2 linked regions of the Alligator mississippiensis genome follow. Each later gene encodes a partner of the first gene's protein in a complex. Links are inferred from orthologs where the notes say so. Each region holds a gene or a part of one and is shown on either strand. Other genes may lie near its edges.

Region 1 (10,558 bases):
CAAAATGTGAACAACCTGGTGACAATAAATAAAACTTCACATACTACAAACAGGAAGAGAAACACAGATGGATCTTCCTCCTGGGTGTCTGCTACAGCTGGCCTGGGCTCTGGGCAGCTGTAGCAGGTGGTGGGCAGGCTGCAAAGAGCCCCTGCACTGGCTCTGTGGCAGTGGTGGCTGCATGCACGTCTCTGGGCAGTCAGCAGGGGAGGTGCCAAACTGTGGTGCCATTGACCCCTTTCCAGCTGTGGACCGGGAGGCATGCTCCCAGCCATGGCTGCCACAGAGTCCCGTGCAGCTGTTTTCAGCCTGCCAGCTGCAGCTGGCCTGGGCTCTGGGCTGCCACTGCCTGCCATGGAGCCTGGGCTGCTTTCAGCTGAGCTGGCTGCCTCCTGATATCAGATTCATCCAAAGAACCTTGTCTGCCTACGTCCTTAGACCAATACGGCTACAACCTACACCCCTCTACCACCAGTATCATTATTAATAAAACAATCGGGGTTCATGTTGTTAATGACGTGATATAACTAACTTTATTTGCAAAAGGGAGAAGTGGTAGATATTCCTCAAGTTAATCATAACAGCTGTCATTGCTTTTGCTGTGGCAGAAACCAACCTGTCCGGTAGATTCTGTACCTCAGAAAAAGGTGTCGAGGCAAATTAACCCATGCTACTACTTGCTTGAAATCAGTGAAGACAGAGTAGCTGAGGCAACAGTGAATATAATTAGCAGTCAAAACCTAATGGATTGAAGTTTGGATTTAGCCATGCTATCCAGGGCATGGCTACATCTTGCTACTTCATCCTTCATAACATAGCTAAGATCCAGGCTTCCTTTTCCATTCACACACATAGCTAAAACTCTCACCCAGGCTGTTGTCATCTCATGTCTCAACCACTGCAAGCTTTTCTTCCTTCCCATCCTTGACAAATGCCATCTTATACCACTAAATATCCATTAAAAATGCTGCTGCAAAAATATTCTTTCTGGCTTCAACCTTGTTAGCCTCTCTTTGTAAACAGAATAAGGCTGATGATGATGCCACTTGGTGTTTGCCATACTGAACAGTATCTTTGTACAAAATCATGACGGTCAAAGAAAGATGCCACCGCCGGGATCCTACAATGTACTCTGTATATACATGATCTTACAAGTTAGTGTGCCAAAAAGAGCTTCAAGTCTTGAAGCAGTGACCAAAGGATAGTTCTAAGAGGAACTTGAAAGCAGAGAGAGAAAAAACTAATAACAGTACTGTATCTTCAGAGGCAATTGTGGCCCTTCAGAAGCAGCGAGGGGTATAAAATTCAATTAAAAACATCACCGATAAGGTAACTTGGGATATGTGAGCTCCACAGTTTGCAGGAAAAGGAAGGGATTTACCTTTCACAGCTCATCAAAAGAATGAAAATATGGTTATCGTCTCATAGTGGTTCTTTATACTGTATTGGGTCATCCCCTTTGTATCTTGGTTAAATGAAAAGATTTGCCAGCTTGGAAACTGAATGAGCTGAGCGTCTAGAGACCTGCACATTGTTGACACTTCTTTTTTAGAAAAAGTTTCTGAATTTTTAAGTAACGTTCCATGATACTGCCTCAAAATGCAAGAGTCTAGTCACGGCATCCACTCTGGTTACTCTGCTGAATCTGAGACGAGCACTGGATTAATTTATCAAGATATTTGCAAACAAGAGAGACAAATGACTTGATCTTCTGTGCTAGGCTTAAAGCAACAGTGGAGAAAGTACTTGCTTACACATCATTAATTGTGAAACAAATGCCTTTGTAATTTTTCCCTGTGCATGCTTACTTGTAAGTTGGAAACTTTATGAGAACAACATAAAAGTAAATATTATAATACAAAATGCATGTGTAATGTGTGCAGTTACACTATAGGGGGCCTATAATTTCATGTCACAAAAAGGCAGAAAATATCAATGACACTTTGGAGCTGCATTTTTTTGGCTTATTTCAATAAGCCACTGAGGGAAAGACAAGAAGAAAAAAAAAAGGGGGAAAGGAGAGTTTTTTAAGAGGAAAAGGAGAATAAAGGAAATGATAATAATAAAATAGGGGACATTTGGGAAGAATAGATTTGATAAGGATGGATTGTAGGCCTATGTAAAGCATTTGGACTGGGAGCAGACATTATAAGGAGCAAATTCACTGTGTGGCCTTCCCCAAATATATAATTTTAATTTTGTTTATGTCTTACATTTGTTCTAACATACATATTAAAAGTCATAGTACTATATACAATGCACAGTGTAATCCAATTCTGTGACTAGCCTCAGGAGTGAAGAAAGACTCTGCACTTGCTCAAACCTAATGGAAGTAATGCTTATTAAATTCAGAACAATCCAGGGTCCCTGCCACATGTTACATATATTACACAATTAACAATTAAATCGCACAATAAATTTAGACTGATCATGAGTCCAAAATTAAGACTGGCCACACATACAAAGTAATCATCATGCCATAAAAATGTCTATTCAACTGTAAAAAGGGGCAACCAGGTACAAAGTTAGTGCTTGAAACTGTGTAATAACTCTATGGCTCCTGCTACATATATTACACAATTAACTGGTAAATTGTGCAATAAATGTACACTGGATACATGTGCAAAGTAATTATTACATAATTGACTGGTTAATTGAACAATAATGTTAGACCAGGCACATATGCAAAGTAATAAGGCACCTGCTATGCTACATATATTATCCAATTAACTGGTGAATCGCACAATATACGTAGACCTGCCACACATGCAAAAGTAAGACTGACCACAAGTGCAAAGTAATTATCACGCAACTAACTGGTTAATCGGATGGAAGTTAATAAACTGACTTCCATTCAGCTTTAACCTGAGGGCCCTAAGCTGAACTTGCTGTCAGTGATATGATATTAGTAGCCTTGAAATGGCCTATTGAAGGCTTCTCATAGGAGCCCCTGACTAGCTTTGTTAATTTTATGGCTTCAAACAGCTCCCCCACACCCACTGATCTACTTTGCCAGCTGCCTTCTCTTTACTCTACCGGTGCCCCTTTTTGGGCCTTGCTGCATGTTCAGATTAAAGGTGGATAAGAAACCAGCTATAGAGCTGTTACACATTTTCAAGCACTTTGTTGCTGGTTGGCTCTCTTAATAGCTAGAAAGTAATTTTTACAGTGTGATAATCACTTTGCACCTGTGGCCAGTCTAAATGTATTGCATGCTTCACCAGATAATTGCATAGTAATTATTTTGCACATGTGGCCGGTCTCCCCTTGCATGTGTGGCTGGCCTAAATCTATTGCACGATTTGCCAGTGAATGGTGCAATATATGTAACGTGTAGCAGAGGCCTTTATTTTCAGTGATGGGGAGGAGGTTTCAATGTCAAAGTAGACAGTGGGATGGATGGACGCACCAGAGGCTTGGGCACTTCATCTGTACGCAGGTAAGTGGCCTGTGTGAGAGGGGGAGAGGCAGGGCAACGTGAGGCCTGGGCACCGTTGGATTTTTGTGCCAATGGTGCACTGAAGGTAAAGCATACGAATGCAAGAAACTGCAGCTGGCTGCACCCACCCGCGGTGCCTCTAGCCCAGTGGGTCTCAACTGTTGTAGACCTCAGGCACCCCTCAGACTGTGTTCACCTGCATTGCCAGGTCTTAACTATGAAATTATTGTACTGGAAGCTCAAAAGTATCATATTTCCATTCTCATTAAAAAACTAGGGGACTGTGGCATCGATACCGATCAGGCCGCAGTTGGAGTACTGTGTTCAGTTCTGGGTGCTGCACTTCAGGAGGGATGTGGACAGCATCCCTGAAGGGTCCAGAGGAGGCCACTCGCATGATCAGGGGACAGCAGGGCAGGCCGTACGAGGAGAGGCTATGGGACCTGAACCTGTTCAGCCTCCATAAGAGAAGGCTGTGCGGGGATCTAGTGGCCTGTTACAGACTAGTCAGGGGGGACCAGCAGGCATTGGGGGAGTCCCTGTTCCCCTGAGCACTACCAGGAGTGACTAGAAATAACAGTCACAAGCTGGCAGAGGGTAGATACAGGCTAGATATCAGGAGGTACTACTTCACTGTCAGGGCGGCTAGGATCTGGAACCAACTTCCAAGAGAAGTGGTGCTGGCTCCTACCCTGGGGGTCTTTAAGAGGAGGTTAGATGAACACCTTGCCGGGGTCGTTTGACCCCAGTACTCTTTCCTGCCATGGCAGGGGGTCGGACTTGATGATCTGCTCAGGTCCCTTCCGACCCCGACCAACTATGAAACTGTAATAGCTGAAAAATGGAAAAAATGCAAATAACTCTTTTTCTTTACTTTATATTGCTCACTTGAAGCAGTGAGTGAGCGAGAACTGGGTCATCAAAGTGGAAGTGTTTTTTTTTTATTTTGAGGCAAGCCGTCATAAGAAAGCACTGACGGCCAACCCCGAAGTTGGCGAAGACTCCCTCAGAGCGACTCGGGTTTGGCACGTGCTGTGTCAACTCCCCGCCTTGACAGGTCTCGTACATTTTGAAAGAGGAATCGGGACTCATGGGAGAGGTGATATCTTTTATTAGACAAACTAGATATTTGCAAAAAAAAAAAAAAAATTGTTAAATATTGTTTAATTTAAAAATACATTTTGAATGCTTTTACTCTCCTACTACCTTTGAAATGACCTCACAAATATGATTATTGATAATATTATCATTATAATCATTATAATTATAATTAAGTTAATTATGATACTATCCTTGAAATGACGACACAAACATGATAATTACTGGTAATTATGATAATTATCATACTGATCATTATGATATTATCATGATGATCATTATAATTATAATTATAATTATAATTATGATACTATCCTTGAAATGACCGCACAAACATGATAATTATTGGTAATTATGATAATTCTCATACTGATCATTATGATATTATCATTATGAGCAGTATGATCATTGTAATGATGAGAATTATGATACTATCTTTGAAATGCCCGCACAAATATTATAATTATTGATAATAATCTTATCATTATGATCATTATAATTGTAAAAATTATGATACTATCTTTGAAATTACCGCACAAATATAATTATTGATAATTATGATAATCATTATGATAATGGTGATAATGATCACTATGATCAGTATGATCATTATAAGTATGAGAATTATGATACTGTCCTTGAAATGACCGCACAGATATAGTAATTATTGACAACCCCGCGGCGGGGAGGTCGCCGCATCTCCCGCCTTGGCGGCCCCGCCCCCCCAGAACCCCGCCCTCCGCGGGGAGATGGCACGTGACGTCAGGCGTGGGGGAGACGGGGGAAACCGCGAGCTCCGGCGGGCGAACTACATCTCCCAGCGGCCCCCGCGGCGCCGACCCGGAAGTGTGACGCACTGCGGGCGCGCGATTCGGACGCCGGTTGGGCTGTTCCCGCGGTGCCACCGCTGCCCCCGCCGGTCCGCCCGCCATGGCTCTGGCGCTGCTCGAGCCGCGCTGGCCGGAGCGGCTGTCGCCGCTGAAGGTGGGTGCGGGGACGGCCGGGGGCAGGGCGGCAGCAGGGAGGCAGCGGGAAACCCCGGGGCGCTGGGCCCGGCGCGGGCTCTCCGTGGCCCGCGCGCTGCAGGTGGGGGCGGGGCGGGAGAAGGGCTTTCTCTGAGCAGCCTCCAGGGTGGAGACTGCCCGCCCCTGGGTTACCACCCTGCGAGTTTTGCACGATATCCAAATTAAACCTCCCTTGCTGCTACTTGAGATCATCGCTCCTCGTCCTGTCATCTGTCACCTCTGAGGACAGCCCAGCGCCATCCTCTTTCTACCCCTGCAGGGAGTTGCAAGGTGTCACTAAATCCCGCCCTCAGTCATTTCTCCACACTCAATAACCCCACTTCCCTCCTCTTCTCCTCAGCAGTCGTGTGCCCCAGCCCCCGAACTGTTTTATAGCCCCCCCGGTCCCGAAGGACGACAGACAGACCTGCTGTTTCCATTGAACACCCCCACGTAACCTGTGCATAGGCTCACGGACAGGGTTGGCAGGGGCCGCGGGAGGTTGCATCTCATCCGAGCCCTGCTCAAAGCAGGAGCAGCCCCAGTTTCCGTCTAACGGAGATGAGACCCCACCACCTGCAGCTCCCCGGCAGCCCCCGACCGTTTGCAGTCGTGACACATGCTGGGGGCAGTGGGCGACCGACCTGTTCAACTTCTTTTGCATCCCATGAGGGGGCAGGGTTAATTGCGTGTGTACATAAATCAATGTATATGGAGAATACATTCGTGCAGATTGCTTCTCCCCCTTATATCTTGGCTCCACTGTATGTACACTCTGCAGTCCGTTTTGCTTGCATCTGCCCGTGACGTGCTAGGGGCACGCGGTAGGGACCTTGCCAGAATGGCTGCAATGATATAAAGAGACTGGACCAGGCATATCAGGGCCCGAGCAATGATACAGGTGCAGGGATGGACTTTTGTCTGGAGGTACAAACAGGTGTTGTCCTGAAGCAATGCTTTCAGTGGTGCTTTTGGTGACGCCAGTGATAATTTGTTCCTGTTGCAGGCAGTGGACGACTTGCTGCGTTGTGGGATATGCTTTGAGTACTTCAATATTGCAATGATCATCCCACAATGTTCACACAACTGTGAGTACAGGACAGTTTCATATGAATGTGCATGTATTATGCTAGTGTTTGACTTCTGAATTTTGCTCCATGATCAGATTGGTACTGGGGCAGAGGGGGCGGGTGGGCTTGCCTTCCTCCTGTCGCAGGGGCATGGCCCATGGCCTGGGATCTCAAGCATATACTGACAGTATTTCATAGAAGCACGTCTTTAGCTGCCCTGGTTCCCCTGCTTTATCTGTGACAGGTTAGGGGGTGAGGTCTGTGTTGTGTCATGGGTGACGGCAGTCTTACGTAGAATTTAGATGATGGATTGTATGGGATGGTTTGGATGGGGATGATCCTACCTCAGGCAGGGGGTTGGATTAGATAATCTCTGGGGGTCTGTTCCAGCCCTTCTTCTCTGTGATTCTCTCTGACTTTTATTTCACGCCCTCATCTGTCTTACTACCTTCTTAGCCTCTCTCTGTATAAAGGAGAACACAGGTTACTTACTGCTGGACTGTACCAGTTGTCGTAGGACTAACATTATAGTGTGTGCTGGGTCGCGACAAATGCCTGCCACTGACCTAGTAGTTACAGTTTCCAGCCACTTGACATTGACCAGATGCCAAATGTGATGCGACTGAATTGGGCCCAAAGTGTGTGGTTAATCAGTATATACAGAGAATACATTTGTACAGATTGCTTCTCCCCCTCATTTTTCTCCATTGTGTTTAAAGTCTATAGTAAATTTTGCTTGCATCTGTCCATGACATGCTAGGGCAGGAGCGGGCAATTATTTCAGCTGGAGGGTTGCTTAACAAGTTTTGGTGAGCTGTCAAGGGTTGCAAGGTTAGCCCTGCCCCTTGACAGGTGCCCCACCCCCTAATTCAGCGTTTTCCAACCTCTTTCACCCCACAGCACACTTACCTAAATAAAAAAGCACCACGGCACACCAGATGTGGAGTTGGGGTAGTGCATAGCCAGCCGGACGCTGACCTGCGGGTGGAGGGAAGGGCATGTGGCCAGCTGGATGGCGTTTTGGGTTGGAACTACACCCGCTGGCTGGCTGGAGCCACGCTCCCCATCTGTCTGTGTCCGCAGCAGCAGCAGCAGGCGGGGGGCATAGCTCCAGCCCAAAATGCCGTGGCACATCTGGACGTGCCTGATAGCGCACCAGTGTGCCACGGCACACCGGTTGGGAAACGTTGCCCTAATCGCCATCTTGGGACTGGAAGCCCCTAACCCCTGACATTTGACACCAGAAGTCATCCATATTGTCTTCTCCCCCCCACCCACCCTCCCTCCCATGGAAGTAATCCTTCTGGGAGGGGGGGTTGCCATCTTGGAACCAGAAAAAAAAAAATTGTATACTCAAATCAAACTACTATAACACATTTTAATTTTATTTTAAAAAATATTTTGGCCCTGATTTATGTGCTTTTGCATAGTATATAAAAAGGTGGTTGCATAATAGTTCAAATAAAGTCTTACTCTTCTACGTTGTGTGTAGAGGGGCATGGGATGTGGTCGGTGGGTGTGTGTGTGGGATTTGTGGGGGGTGTGGGGTTTCTGAAGGGGTATGGGTATGTGTGCCTCCTCCCCCATGGTGTACAGCCTCCGTCACTGACAGCAGCAGTAGCAGGTAGAAGCACAGAGCCTGCCCATTTTGATGGTGCATGACCTCTGAAAGTCTGCCTCCTGCTGGCTTTCAGAAGAGCAGTTGCAGGCCGGTAATAATTTTTTGGAGGAGCCCAATGGGCCGGATAGAATGGCCTGGCAGGCTGGATCCATATTTTGCCCACCCCTGTGCTAAGGGCACATTGTAGGGATACCTTGTCAGAATGGTTCCAATGAGATAGACTTATTCCAGTCTCCCTATCAGGGCCAGAGCAATGATACAGGTGGAGGGATCACTTATAATCCATTTAAACTCACCAGAGCTTAGGGATGTGCTGTTGTTTTACTCCAGTTAGCTCAAACCCTCCTGTCACTTATCCCAGTGATGTGCAGTATGAAATCTCACCAGAGGTTTCCTCATAAAAATTCCTCTTTTTCAATGTTTCACATGCAAAATTATGATCTGACTTCTTTGGAATGCAGTGCTCAACTTATGGATTCCTGACAGACATTTCCTTTTTAAAGTATATAGTTTTCTCAGTCACTGTCTAATCAGCAAAGAGCCCTAGATACTAGTGGCTATGAATGAAAGGTGCTTTCAGAAATGCAAGCTGTATTTTGGACAGTAACTTTTCTTGGCCTACCAGATTAGAGCATAATTCATCTAACTGCTTAATATAGTGCTGGTCCCAATTTGTTGCCTATTGTTTACATTGGTTTTCTGTATACGAGTAAAGTATCTTAATCACTTAAGCCCAAAGCATTTTTGAGCCCCACTGCCTCCTTCGTAACTTAATTGCATCCCATTTGACTGTACCAGCAAGAGCGAAGGGGAAAAAATCTATCAAATGGGTGCTATCTGAAGCCTTTAAAATTATAGGAGCTAGTCAGTGTAAGGCAGTCAACCTTTTGGGCAGGCATAACCCAAATTAGTTATACACCCTCCCCAAGTGTCATCCAGTCTCCTTCCCCTGCCTGATCTGCTGCTCTGCTTTTTGCTTCTTGCCCTATCTACTGCTCTGTCCTCTTGATTTGCTTGGCACATGCAGAGGCTGCCCATATTAGTTGTGGCACATGTTTACAGGCAGCTGCTACCTCATCAGTGACAGCACTGTGTACTTAATGAGCATTGTTGACATTCAGTTTGGATAGGTGTATGCTCCAAGTAGTGCCTAGCTATTTTTCAGTCCCGGACCATGCACTTAGACAGAGTACCCTGTACAATCCCTGTTCTTGCAAGAATGCAGAGATCTGTTGCATGAATTTATCCATTTAATATAACATAATTTTTATTACAAAGAGGATATTTGTTACCAGCTCACCATTGAAATGTCTTTCAGAATGAGAATTAGTAAAACCTAGGGACAGGAGTAGGATTCAAAGCTATATGGTAAACAGTATGAACTGAGCTGGAGTTTTCCATTCTGTGTATCTGCCTTGGGCTGGATTTTGTTGGAAAGTGTCAGCAACATGTTTTAGCCTTTTCTGAGAGAGAGATTAGGGAAAATGTGTTGTCTTTTTTACATTAAAATAAATTTGTTGTGAAACTCTAGCACTTCAGTGCTTTCGACCAAGGCCTTGAAATTTATCACGGTCGGGGATCAAGTGTGTTTAGGATTTCTCTCTCAGAAGAAGAATGGGGTGTGTTTTGGAAGGAGGGAGTGGAATATACAATGTCAGATTTGGCTATGTTGGAGCCCAGGCGGTTATACAGTTGAAAACAAAGGAATGCGTACATACATACAGAGGCAGCATAACTGGGATGGCTTATTTTAAGTGGACTTTTATTATATGTGTATGCACATAACTTAACTAGGCTGGCTTACTTTAAGTTGATTAATACGTCTGTATGCCTGTAACATAATTAAACTTACTTGAATTAAGCGGTTTTATGTAGGCCGACCAATTTTAGGCTGACTTAGTACCTTTGTGTGCACATGTCCAACATAGCTGGGCTGACTTATTTTAAGTAGATTTAGTTGAGTTTTGTGCATACATACATACTAAGTCAAATTAAAATAAGTGTGCTTCTACACATAGGGTATGTGTGTACACATGTACTAGGCTGTGTGCATATACTCATAGTTATTCATAGAATGTAGGCTAGAAGGGACCTCGGAAGATCATTGGGTCCAGCCCCCCTGTGCCAAGCAGGAAAGACAACTGGGGTCAAGTGACCCCAGCAAGGTGACTGTCTAGCCTCCTCTTGAAGATTTCCAGGGTAGGCGATTGCACCACCACTGGAAGGAGCTTATTCCACAGTCTGGACACCCTAGCTGTGAAGAAGTTTTTCTTAATGTTGAGTCTGAAACGGTCTTCCAGGAGTTTGTGACCATTGCTCCTGGTTT
Region 2 (10,356 bases), on another chromosome or scaffold:
CCACTTGCTCTTAGTGAAAGGAAAGAGAGAAGAATCAAAATCTAACTACTAAGCCAGACGTGACCATAAAAGCATAAAAGTCTCAGCTAGTTGTAGGAGATATGAAAATATCTGATGGTATTGGATAGCATCCGATAACATCTCCTGCAGCAGGAACCAACCTTTTTGGCGGGTATACTGCCAGTTAAGCCCCACAAGCTCCAGTGCCTCTCTGATGTCCTTCCCCTGCCTAATCTGCTGGTCTACTTTCTGCTCCCTGCCCAAATCTCCTGCTCTTTCTGCTCCCTGCCCCTCCCTAATCTGCTTGCATGCCCCACACAAAGGCTGCCTGTGCCACTTGTGGCACAAGTACTGCAGATTGGCCACCCCTGTCCTACTGAATGTTTCAATTTCTCTATGTATAAGCAGATCTCACTTCAAAATGTTCAGTTAGCTGTGGGTTACTGTGGCAACAAGAGTGCTCCAATCAAAAGACCATAATCTCTTTAAAACAGCAAGCCCTCTCTTTCACTTACAGTTTTTGCTTGCTTTCTGCTTTTTCTGACTCATAACTAAATTTTGTGGCTATCATAATTAAATAGCCCATGTATAGGCAATGTATGTACCTTTCTTCAAAACAAATATAATATTCACGTTGTACATATCTACATACATCTACAACTGAGGAAGGGGAATAGGAACGGCAAAAAATTAGTTACTTACCATCCTCAAATGGGGTACCTTCCGGCCTAAAAATTGAAGAAAAAAATGTTTCTATTAAAATGAATTCGTCTACTTATTCATATACCCCAACCTTCCAGGTACACCAGTCAAAATGGAAAAAAGCCAAACAAGTACAATCCTATACAATGCACAGGTTCAGATTAAAATTAATGGGTAAATCCAAATTCACAAAATACTTGAATTTATGACAAGATACTGAGTCGATTCTGACTCTGCGGGATAGCTAATGTATCTAGATAAAAGTTGCATCCAGAGAATTATATTGGGGGGGGGGGGGGGGTGGGGGTGGTACGTGGAAATTGGCTTGGTCCCTGCTAACATATCTAGATTTCCTGGTTAAGTGGAACAGAATTATTACATGCTTCTTTAGGAGAATCCTGCCTTTTCTAGAACTTCTACTAGACCCTTCACATAAGTTCAATGGTATTCACTATTCATGGGCACAAAATCTGACCACCTAAAAAAAATATATATATATTTTACTTCAAAAACTACAACAGGAGAAAAACTTATTTAACTGTGCCTCTCTGAAGGGGGAGTGAATACATACAAAACAGCATACATGCTAGTTTTCCCCTTAGTTTCTGTAACTTACTTTTACTTAATCTATGAACACATAAGTGTCTCAAAAGTTTTCAAAGAATCATTTATTATCTTTTTAAACCTGTATTTAGCCCTTAAGCATTATCATTTGTACAATGAGTAGGAAGAAAAGCACATACCCAAATATAACTGCATTCCACTGCATTATGTTATTCTCAGATGGTGCACCACTGACACCCACAGGAGGGTCTTCTTGCAATCTAAAAATTAAAAAAAAATAGTGGTAAGATACTTGTTAAAAAGTCACACACACACAATCTGGTAATAGTTAGAAAGACATACACGTGTGTGCGCGTCTAGAGTTTGCACTGATCTGCTGAATTCTCTAATCCTAAAAGAACATGGAATGCAGAGTTTAAGGTTATATGTACATTAAATGTTCCAAAGACAGAAGCAGATTTTCTGTTCAAATATTTTGTTACAATAAGACAGACCAACAGAAAAAAAAAAAAAAAAAGAGAGAAGCATAGCATGCGTTTCTGCATGCGTTTCTCCATCAAATAAGAGCAGTTATGAAACACCTTGTACATCTGGGTTTTACATTCTGTACGTCAAACGATGAAATAATGAACATTCAGAATCACTCCTGCTGGCTGCAGCAGCGAAAACAAAATGATTTATAACCACAAATTGACACACTGAAACTGCAACTATTGCGGAAACCAACCAATACTATCTATAGTATGCACGTACTGGAAGCTACAAGAACGTAGACAAGATGGTGCGTGGGGTCTGGCTAAATTCTGAACATTCAAAATCAAAACAATTTTGGCCAGCAGGACGATTGCTCTAAGAGGTAAACAGAAACATCGCTGTACTGTTTTCTTCATTCCTTCTTAGCCTGAAAACACTGTGCTTTAAAGGAGTCATAGAAGCATCTTAACTTATTTAGACACACACACACCCACGTACGTTCTGGATTAGTAAGAATGCATCAATTTCCTAGTGGAAAACATGGTACCAAAGAAGTATTGTATATGAAGTGGGAGTTTAGAGACCAAGACCTTTGCCCTAGGACTGTATAAATCCCTGGATTAATACAGATGTTGTACTACCCTGTTGGTACTATGCCTTCTCCAACATACTTGCATACAACCTGAAATCTGAAGCACTTCCAAAACAAACCAAACAGCCAAACTTGCTTCACCATAGCACTAAGAAATGTATTGTATTTAAGGAAACCCAAGCACTAAGGGGATAGGCCAAGAAACAGATTTTGATTTGATATTCTGTTGTACATCAGAAGTCAGGATAAATCCCCAATTGGTTCCCTCACCACCACTTCAGGTCCACAAGAGGGATCATGTTTTAGAATGACATATTAGCAAGGACGCTGACCATCAAGCACCAATATTGCCGCTAAGGCAAACTAGCAGCAGGGAGTTCTCTGCCCGAGATTCACAGCGTCCTTCCCAACCTGTATTTAAGCATCCTTGTTTTCTGACCTTTCACAATTTACACAGTTCAATATCAACAGATCATACCCACCACTTTGGGGAACAGTTTCTTCCTACCGGAAAAACCAGATTGCCTGCCAGTATCAAAGCCTAAGCAGCAAACTTAAGTGCTGTTCTGAGATAGCTTTGGTTCTTAAATCAGGACAAAGCTCCCCCCATACTATGCTGTGGGAACATCTTTAACTACAGAGAATTTATGGCCTGAACTGGAAGCTTAACTTGCCTGAACAGAGCCTAGAGATATTTAAGAGCTAGCGATAATGTGGTATTTATAGCATCCGTATTCCTTTTCTAAGAGCTGTAATTAGTATTTTTCTAATTTTATTCAAAGGAACTAAAGAACGGTCAGCCTTCCAATAATCTGTCAAGTTCTTCTCTCATCACCACCACACAACCACAATAAACACAGCAGAGTTCACAGCAAAACATGCAACCTGAATGCTGTTACTTTTAGACTGAAGTAATTGTTAGTAACAAACTAAACGCATTTCCTTTCCCCCTAATGTTAAGAGACTGACATTTTAAAAGAAACATGAGCTCAGCCTGGAGGTACAAGATGGTTAGGTTAGATAAATGCACACTCATTCTGTGCTTCAGTGCATCTATTTAGAGTATTTATTTACTTACTTATCCACCTCCGATGTTAACAACAGAATCAGTGTCTCCAAAAGCAATTCTTATCCATTAGTGCCATAAGTAGTCAGGTTTTTTTATATTCATTGTGACCCACCATTAGGAACAGGATTTAGATGTCCTTTTTTGCTTTAAAAGGAACTACACGATGTTATGTTTGCATTATACAATACCTGGGAAGACTGCTGACAGGTAACTAACTTCTAAACCTCAACTCAATTCCTAACATTTTAGTTGCATATCAAACTTTTAACATTGCTATATATTATGTATACATATATAGCCCATGTCAACTGTTTACTTACACATTTGCAGATACTGCAATAAAATACAGTGACCACTAATAAAGTGGCACTACTGAAACCAAGTCATCTCCAGTGATTTAGGCCAACTCCTTTTAAAGAGAACAAGAGTTTTGCCTCCAATAATTTAGGCCAACTCCTTTTAAAGAGAACAAGAGTTTTGCCTCCAATAATTTAGGCCAACTCCTTTTAAAGAGAACAAGAGTTTTGCCTGAGTAAGGGACACACTTTGCTGGGGTTATTTGACCCCAGTTGTCTTTCCTGTCCAGAGCAAGGGGGCTGGACCCGATGCTCTCACGAAGTCCCTTCCAGCCCTCAACTTCTGTACATCTGTGTGAATGTCTCAGTGCCTTCAACTCACACAGAGCTGACAAAAACCACACAACGTGGACGGCGTAACAAAGACCTTCCACACCATACCTATATATTTACGTCAAGTGGGATAATTCAAGGCATTCCCATTACAAAAAAAGAGACTATCAATGACCCCCACGCTCACTGCAACACAAAAATAAGGTGCTCTATGACGGGGATCCGCCTGCACGCAAAACACACCGCGTTGTGTCCAAAGTTTCCAAGTCCAGAAGCACGGCAGTCGCCGCCGTTACTACTACATTTACCATCGCTGCCGTGTACCTCGACCACGTGCAGGACAGTTTGGACAGGCACAACCCTGCGGGGGCCGGACGGGATCCGACTTCTCCCAGCCCGACTCCTCTGGGAGAAGCGAGTCCTGGAGAAGCCGGGTTGGGAGGGACCATTTAAAAGGCATTTGAGTGTTTATCTGGCTAAGCATCCAGGTGGCAGCTGTGTTGGTCTGGAGGAAAAGGCAATCAAGGACTCGTAGCAGAGAGGATCTCTTTTATTAAACCAACGAGATTTTTGCTAAATAAATAAATAAGTAAATAAAAAGTGTGATCCCCGGGGCTGGACTCAATCTCACGAGGTCCCGTCCGGCCCCCAATGTCTATGAACAACCTCCTTTCTCAACCTGTGGGTCAAGCCCCAAAAAGGGGGGTGCGAGGGTATCGGGAAGGGTGGCAAACCGACTTGGAAAAGGGGGGGAAGCGCGGGCTTTTCCCTCGCGGCGGCCCCACACCCCGGGGGCAGGAGCGAGGGGTGCTGGGTCTTGTCCTGAAAGGCTGGATCCAGCCCAACCCCCACCCGAGGCAGCAGCATCCCCATCCCCGTGCCAAGCGGCCCGCACAGCCCGGGGCCGACCCCCGCGGGGGAAGCAGGGCCCGGCGCCCCCTTGCAGCAACCCCAGGGCCAGAGCCCTTCACGGACACCCACCTCTTGAAGTCTCTCATGAGGCGCCGCCTGGCCGGGGTGGACATGTTCCTCCGCCCGCCCGCCGCCGGCCCGTCCCGCGAGCTCCGCCGTAACCCGCCGCCGCCGCCGCCGCGCAAACAAGCCCGCAATGGCGTCTCCCTCCGCGCGGGGGGCGGGGCGAAATGTACCACTGCCGCGGGAGCCGGGGGGTAGCGGAATGTACTACTGCCGCCACAGACACCGGGCAGCGGGCGGGGGAGGTTCTGGGAGCGCGCTCGGGATGCACCATTGGGCCTGGCCGCGGAGGGGGGCAGAGGAGAACACCCCCGTGCGTGTCGCTTGGGCTGCGCCGTGTTTGGTTCCTTCCTCCCAGCCGGCTGCGCCGGGGGGTCCGCACGCGCGGTGCAAACCCGGCCGCGATGACAACCGGCAGAAACCTCCAGGGTCGCAGCCGCGGGGCGGAGAATGAGCGTGTGCTCGCACTAAGTTGTGAGCAGAAGACTGCATGCCCTTTCCATTTTTATTGCCAATTGTAAGGAGCCTTTTTCAGGTCTTTTTTTTTTTTTTTTAAATCAAGACCTGAAAAATCTCACGCATCCAGGCTCGGGGTTTTAGACACCCCCTCACCTCAAGATTCAAAGTTGCAGAAGTTGGCAGCTCCCTGCCTGATGGCTTCCCCGCCCCGCATCCTTGCTTATGTCCTTGCAGAGATGCATCGGGCCCTTCATTCGTGTAACTCCTGCAGCAGTGTTTGTGGGGCGTGCAATAGCGGCTGGTGGGGGTTTCCCGGATGAGCGACGCTAAGCTAATTAATGCTAGGCTGAGCTTGGTACAAGCCTGTAAGTGATTCTGCTCTAATGCATCTACCATGAGAGAGAATTCCCCCTGCACCAGTTTCTGTTGTTTCAGGAAGCAATTTAGCTCCCTATTGTTAAGTATTATGTAGGGGGGAGGGGGGGAGGTTATTTTATTCTTTTACTTGCTTCCATAAGTAAGTAGGGCTGGCATTGTACTATATGAACACAAAGCAACTGAAGATCTCTGTCCTGCAAGCTTTTCTACACCTGCTAAAGCATGCCAAGTACACGCACTTAGACCCATTATCCTACAGCCCTGAAACCACTAACCCCTTGATTTAGGCACTGACATAAGGGATCGCAGAATCGGCCCTGATACAAAACAAGTTTTTCAAAAATCGGAGTAAGAAAACACAGACCCATGTAAGTGAAATCAAGCCCACTTTCAATCCTGGAGAACTATTCCTCACACTAATAGGAGCCAACGCTCGTTGCCGTACAAGCTTTCAGAACACCCTTCTCCCACCGCGCGCGCACTTCACATTCCTTTGCTGTCTGTTTCCCTCCTCTCCAAGCTGTTTGTATTAAGTGCAAGCTCTGAATTCTTCAGGAAAAGGGCTGTGTTCTCGAAAGCCATGTACAAGTCTGGCCCTGCTAAGTACTTAGTTAGTTTAACTGTATTGTGACTTGACTGCATTAATGTTACACGTCGGAGCTGTTCTCCTGCTGCTGCTGCTGCTGCACAATTTAAGAGCTCTCACTCCAGAAGTACAGTTCTCTGCTCTTTAAGGAACCTATCTGCCATTAATCTAACAACATACCCAGAATCTGTTCACACCCTTCTTTTGCAATTCATTGGATAGACAGTCTTTTTTTAAAGAAGGGAAAAGGGAAGCCACACACAAAACACCCAAATCATTCTAATCCAACCACTGCTTTGCACCTAACCAAGGGTCTTCCTTGCCAAAGGCCCACCCCATTAAGACTTCCTTAGTCACTACCCCAGGAACATTTCACCTTCCTACAACCAACTGTATATCTTCTTTCCCAACTAAGCTTTTATTTCTACAGCACGGGTGGGCTGAAGGCAGCCCACCAGGCCATTCTATCTGGCCTGTGGGGCCCCTAAAAAATTTAGAAAATGAATGTTTATCTGGCCCTGGCTGCCTGTCACGTGGCCCTTGATGGATTGCCAAAACTCAGTAAGCGGCCCTCCGCCCAAAATAATTGCCCGCCCCTGTAGACTAGGGAATCAGGCATTTTTCCCAGCTGAACCTGATAATTCCCTCTACAGGGGCAAATACGTATTCTTAAAAAAAAGCTCAGCCTCAAACAACTGATCCTTAAAAGGACAGACTACCCTTCTACAGAAACCTTCAAAGCAGGAGCAGTGTATAGATTATGATACGAGGTGTATTTGGTAGCTGTGTTGATCTGAGACAAAAAGAAATACAAAAACCTAAAACTCTTGGTTCCAAAATGATACCTTTTATTAGATCAACTTAGAAATGACACAAAAAAAAAAAATCCTTTCCGTTGGTTTAATAAAAGGTATCATTTTGGAACCAAGAGATCTAGATTTTTGTGTAGCTTATGATATGACACATAGCTGAGCCATTTTGGTTGCATACAGCAGAGGGCAGCGTTACCCTTCCATACAAACTTGTTCATGTCAAGGTTATACAGTAATTTGTCCAAAAGAATGGATCTGTCGCATGCATTTTTACTCAAAAGATTTTTTTTTTCAATCTTATTCAGGGGTTAAAGAAACATTTCAATTAATTTAGTATATTGGGAAAATAAAAACAAGGGTCTGTAAACTTTATTTCAGGAAGTCTGATGTAGCATTCTTAAACTGGATTATATGAAATTTATTTTTTTTTACATCCAATTAAAAGAATTCATGGTTAAGTTTGAAGTTCAGTCACAACTTCAGCACTAAAAGAGAGGCCAGCCCTCTCTGTGGTTTGTGGTTTCTCGTGTCATTCTCTTGCTAGGAAGATTACCCAAGATCTCACTGTAGGAGGTAATTGTTTTATGTCTGCTGGTGATTGTTTGTTTACTGGCAAATGATGTTATCACTATAGTTACCCCCTGCTTTCACTATGGGAATAATTATTTTCGATTCATCATGAAATAATGCATTACAGCAGCTGACAAAGATATGACATCGGATGCATTTCACATACTTCATAGCATCTGACAAAGTAGGTTTTTGTCTATGAAAGCTCATTTTTCTCTGAACCAGTTAGTCTTTAAGGTGCCACCCTGCCCTGCCTTCTGTCTGACTTCTGACTCACCTGGCTAACCACCTCTATTCCAGTTTGAAAAACTTTTCTAATGACTTTTTTTTCTTACAGTGTCATCCCTACAAGATAATTGATTTTTTTCATTCAAGAAGTCTGAAGAATAACGTAATGGTCTATGGCTATGCCCCATTAGCCCCAGCCTTCTGCCACCTATGATGGCAGCTGAAATGAAATAAAAACTGGCAAATTTTGGACAGCGTCATTCCTTCTGCTAATCTAAAATAGTTTATAGTTAGAAAACCAGTAAGACAGAAAATTATCTTGCATGCGTACATAACAGACAATTACCCCTTAATAAGCCTCAAGGAACTTAGGAAATAGCAGTGAAGCTGGGCTGCTTGCGTGTGCGCTAAATATTATAAATCCCGCAAACCTTAATTAACAAAAGACGTGAAGGCTTCAGTTCTGCAGTGCCCCTGCAGAGCTTCGTTACTTGCATTAACGTGTCCAAACCCAAGCAATAAAATATATTGCTGAATAAAATAATAATCTTAATAAAATAATGATAGCAACATATACAGTAATCAAAGGAATTGTGAGAAATGGATTTGCATTATTTATTTGCATTGCCCCTGGAGGCCCCAGAATGAGTCTGGAGCTGCATTCTGCTAGGTACAAATTGTGATGGAGACAGGCAGCTCCTCCCTAGAAGGGCAGAACCAATCCTACAGTCATGCAGTCTTTTAATGAAGATCAAAGGGGAAACAAAAGCATCCAATAATTCAGTATTACAGGTACTTCCTTGACATCTGCTATTTGCTCGCCCCCTTGCCAAGATAAATATTAACCAGGAAATATACCAGCCTGCAAGTATTTATAAGGACATTAAAAAATGCTGTTTACAGTCACTCCATGGGTCCACCTTGCTCACATATCCTGGGTCCCACAGCTAGCGGCTCCTCCACAGAGCTGTCACAATGCATCTGCTGAGTTCATGGACACCCCCGACACCCGCCCCTTCTGAGAGCAGAGGGAGACCCTGGCGTACGCCCTCCTGGACTGTGCCAGGCCGCAGCCCCTTCATTGCCTGCCTCCTCCTCAACCTCCTGATGCCCTACTCCCATCCCACACCTTGCTGTTTGTGCACTCCTGGTACATGGCCCCACGTGGCCCTGGGGCCTCCCCTCCTCCTGGCTGGGAAGGAGCCTCTGGCCAGGAGTAACACCCCCACCCCCAGGGACTACAGGGCTGTTTTCCTGTCCTTGGCCTGTTCACCCTCCAGGCAGTTTCACCGGGCAGCGCCCACTGGCTCCTCGGCCTTGTCTGGGGCCGGCAGGCCCTGCCTGGTGTGCTCCGCTCAGGGTCCCCCTCACTTGGAGCAATTCATCTAAACCTGTGCCCTGCCCCCTCGTCCCTGTTTTCTCTTCAGTTGCCCCCTGAGCTCAGCGGCCTCCCGGCTGAAGCAGGTTTTCACCACGCTCCTGCCCCACCAGCACCATCTGCCACACGCAGGCCGACGAAGCCTGAGGCCCTACCCGCGCGCATGCGCACGAGGGCTCGTGCTGGACGCCAAGGCACTGCAGGCGCCGCCACTTCCCTGCTCCCTTCCGCACATGCGCAGTCACCGGGACGCTTCAGGGAGGCCCCGCCCCTTCCGCTCCACTTCCGGGTGGAACGGGATGAGGCCGCGGCGGTTGGCTTGGCTGCCTGTTGCTGTGGTAACGGGGCCTAGTGGCGGCGCCATGGACAGCCGCGGTGCGCAGGTCAGCGGGCCGGGCCCCTCGGCGGTGGGGGACGGGACGGGGCAGGGAGGTGCGGGAGGCCGGGCGAGAAGGCTCCCGTTGTCCTGCGCCGCGTTGTATTGCCAGCAGGGCAAGGGAAGCGCTTGGTCCCTTCTGTGGGCAAATTGGAGAGTCCAGCGGGGGGCGACGAGAGGGTGACAGGGCGGGGACACGTGCGAGGAGAGGCTGCGGGAGCGGGGTTTATGTAGTCTGGAGAAGAGGAGGCCGAGGGGGATTGAATAGCAGCCTTCAGCTCCCTGCAGGAAGGAGGATGGAGCCGGCCGGTTGTCAGTGGGGGCAGGTGACAACAAGCAGCAATGGGCTCCAGTTGCAGCAAGGGGACTTTAGGTTACATATTAGGAAGAGTTTTCTCACTGGGAGGGTGGTAAAACACTGGAACGGGTCACCCAGACAGGTGGGGGAGTCTCCATCCTGGGAGGTTTTTAAGACCCATCTACACAAAGCCCTGACTGGGGTGATGTACTTGGAGCTGGTCCTGCCTCGAGCAGGGGTTGGACTCGATGTGACCTCCCGAGGCC

Evidence for each region.
Region 2: the proteins of RAD18 (region 1) and UBE2B are in contact, whole or in part, in a crystal structure (PDB 2YBF), measured with the Homo sapiens proteins. The link is inferred for Alligator mississippiensis from reciprocal best matches to the Homo sapiens genes RAD18 and UBE2B. Residues at the interface, in NP_064550.3 of Homo sapiens: Tyr342, Arg343, Lys344, Lys345, His346, Lys347, Glu349, Phe350, Leu353, Val354, Gln356, Ala357, Arg358, Lys359, Gly360, Tyr361; in NP_003328.1 of Homo sapiens: Pro20, Val22, Gly23, Val24, Ser25, Gly26, Ala27, Ser29, Glu30, Gln35, Asn37, Ala38, Val39, Phe41, Gly42, Pro43, Glu44, Glu49, Asp50, Lys54, Leu55, Val56, Leu73, Ser74, Asp151, Ser152.

Annotation. Positions count from the first base shown.
Region 1 is NC_081835.1:14,535,224-14,545,781, reverse strand, and holds the start of RAD18 (E3 ubiquitin-protein ligase RAD18), read left to right. Parts: upstream 1-5,391; 5' UTR 5,392-5,467; coding exon 5,468-5,521; intron 5,522-6,547; coding exon 6,548-6,629; intron 6,630-10,558. UniProt on the Homo sapiens protein: E3 ubiquitin-protein ligase involved in postreplication repair of UV-damaged DNA. Postreplication repair functions in gap-filling of a daughter strand on replication of damaged DNA.
Region 2 is NC_081832.1:70,119,524-70,129,879, reverse strand, and holds the start of UBE2B (ubiquitin-conjugating enzyme E2 B), read right to left. Parts: upstream 5,150-10,356; 5' UTR 5,056-5,149; coding exon 5,012-5,055; intron 1,527-5,011; coding exon 1,446-1,526; intron 729-1,445; coding exon 703-728; intron 1-702. UniProt on the Homo sapiens protein: E2 ubiquitin-conjugating enzyme that accepts ubiquitin from the ubiquitin-activating enzyme E1 and transfers it to a E3 ubiquitin-protein ligase. In vitro catalyzes 'Lys-11'-, as well as 'Lys-48'- and 'Lys-63'-linked polyubiquitination.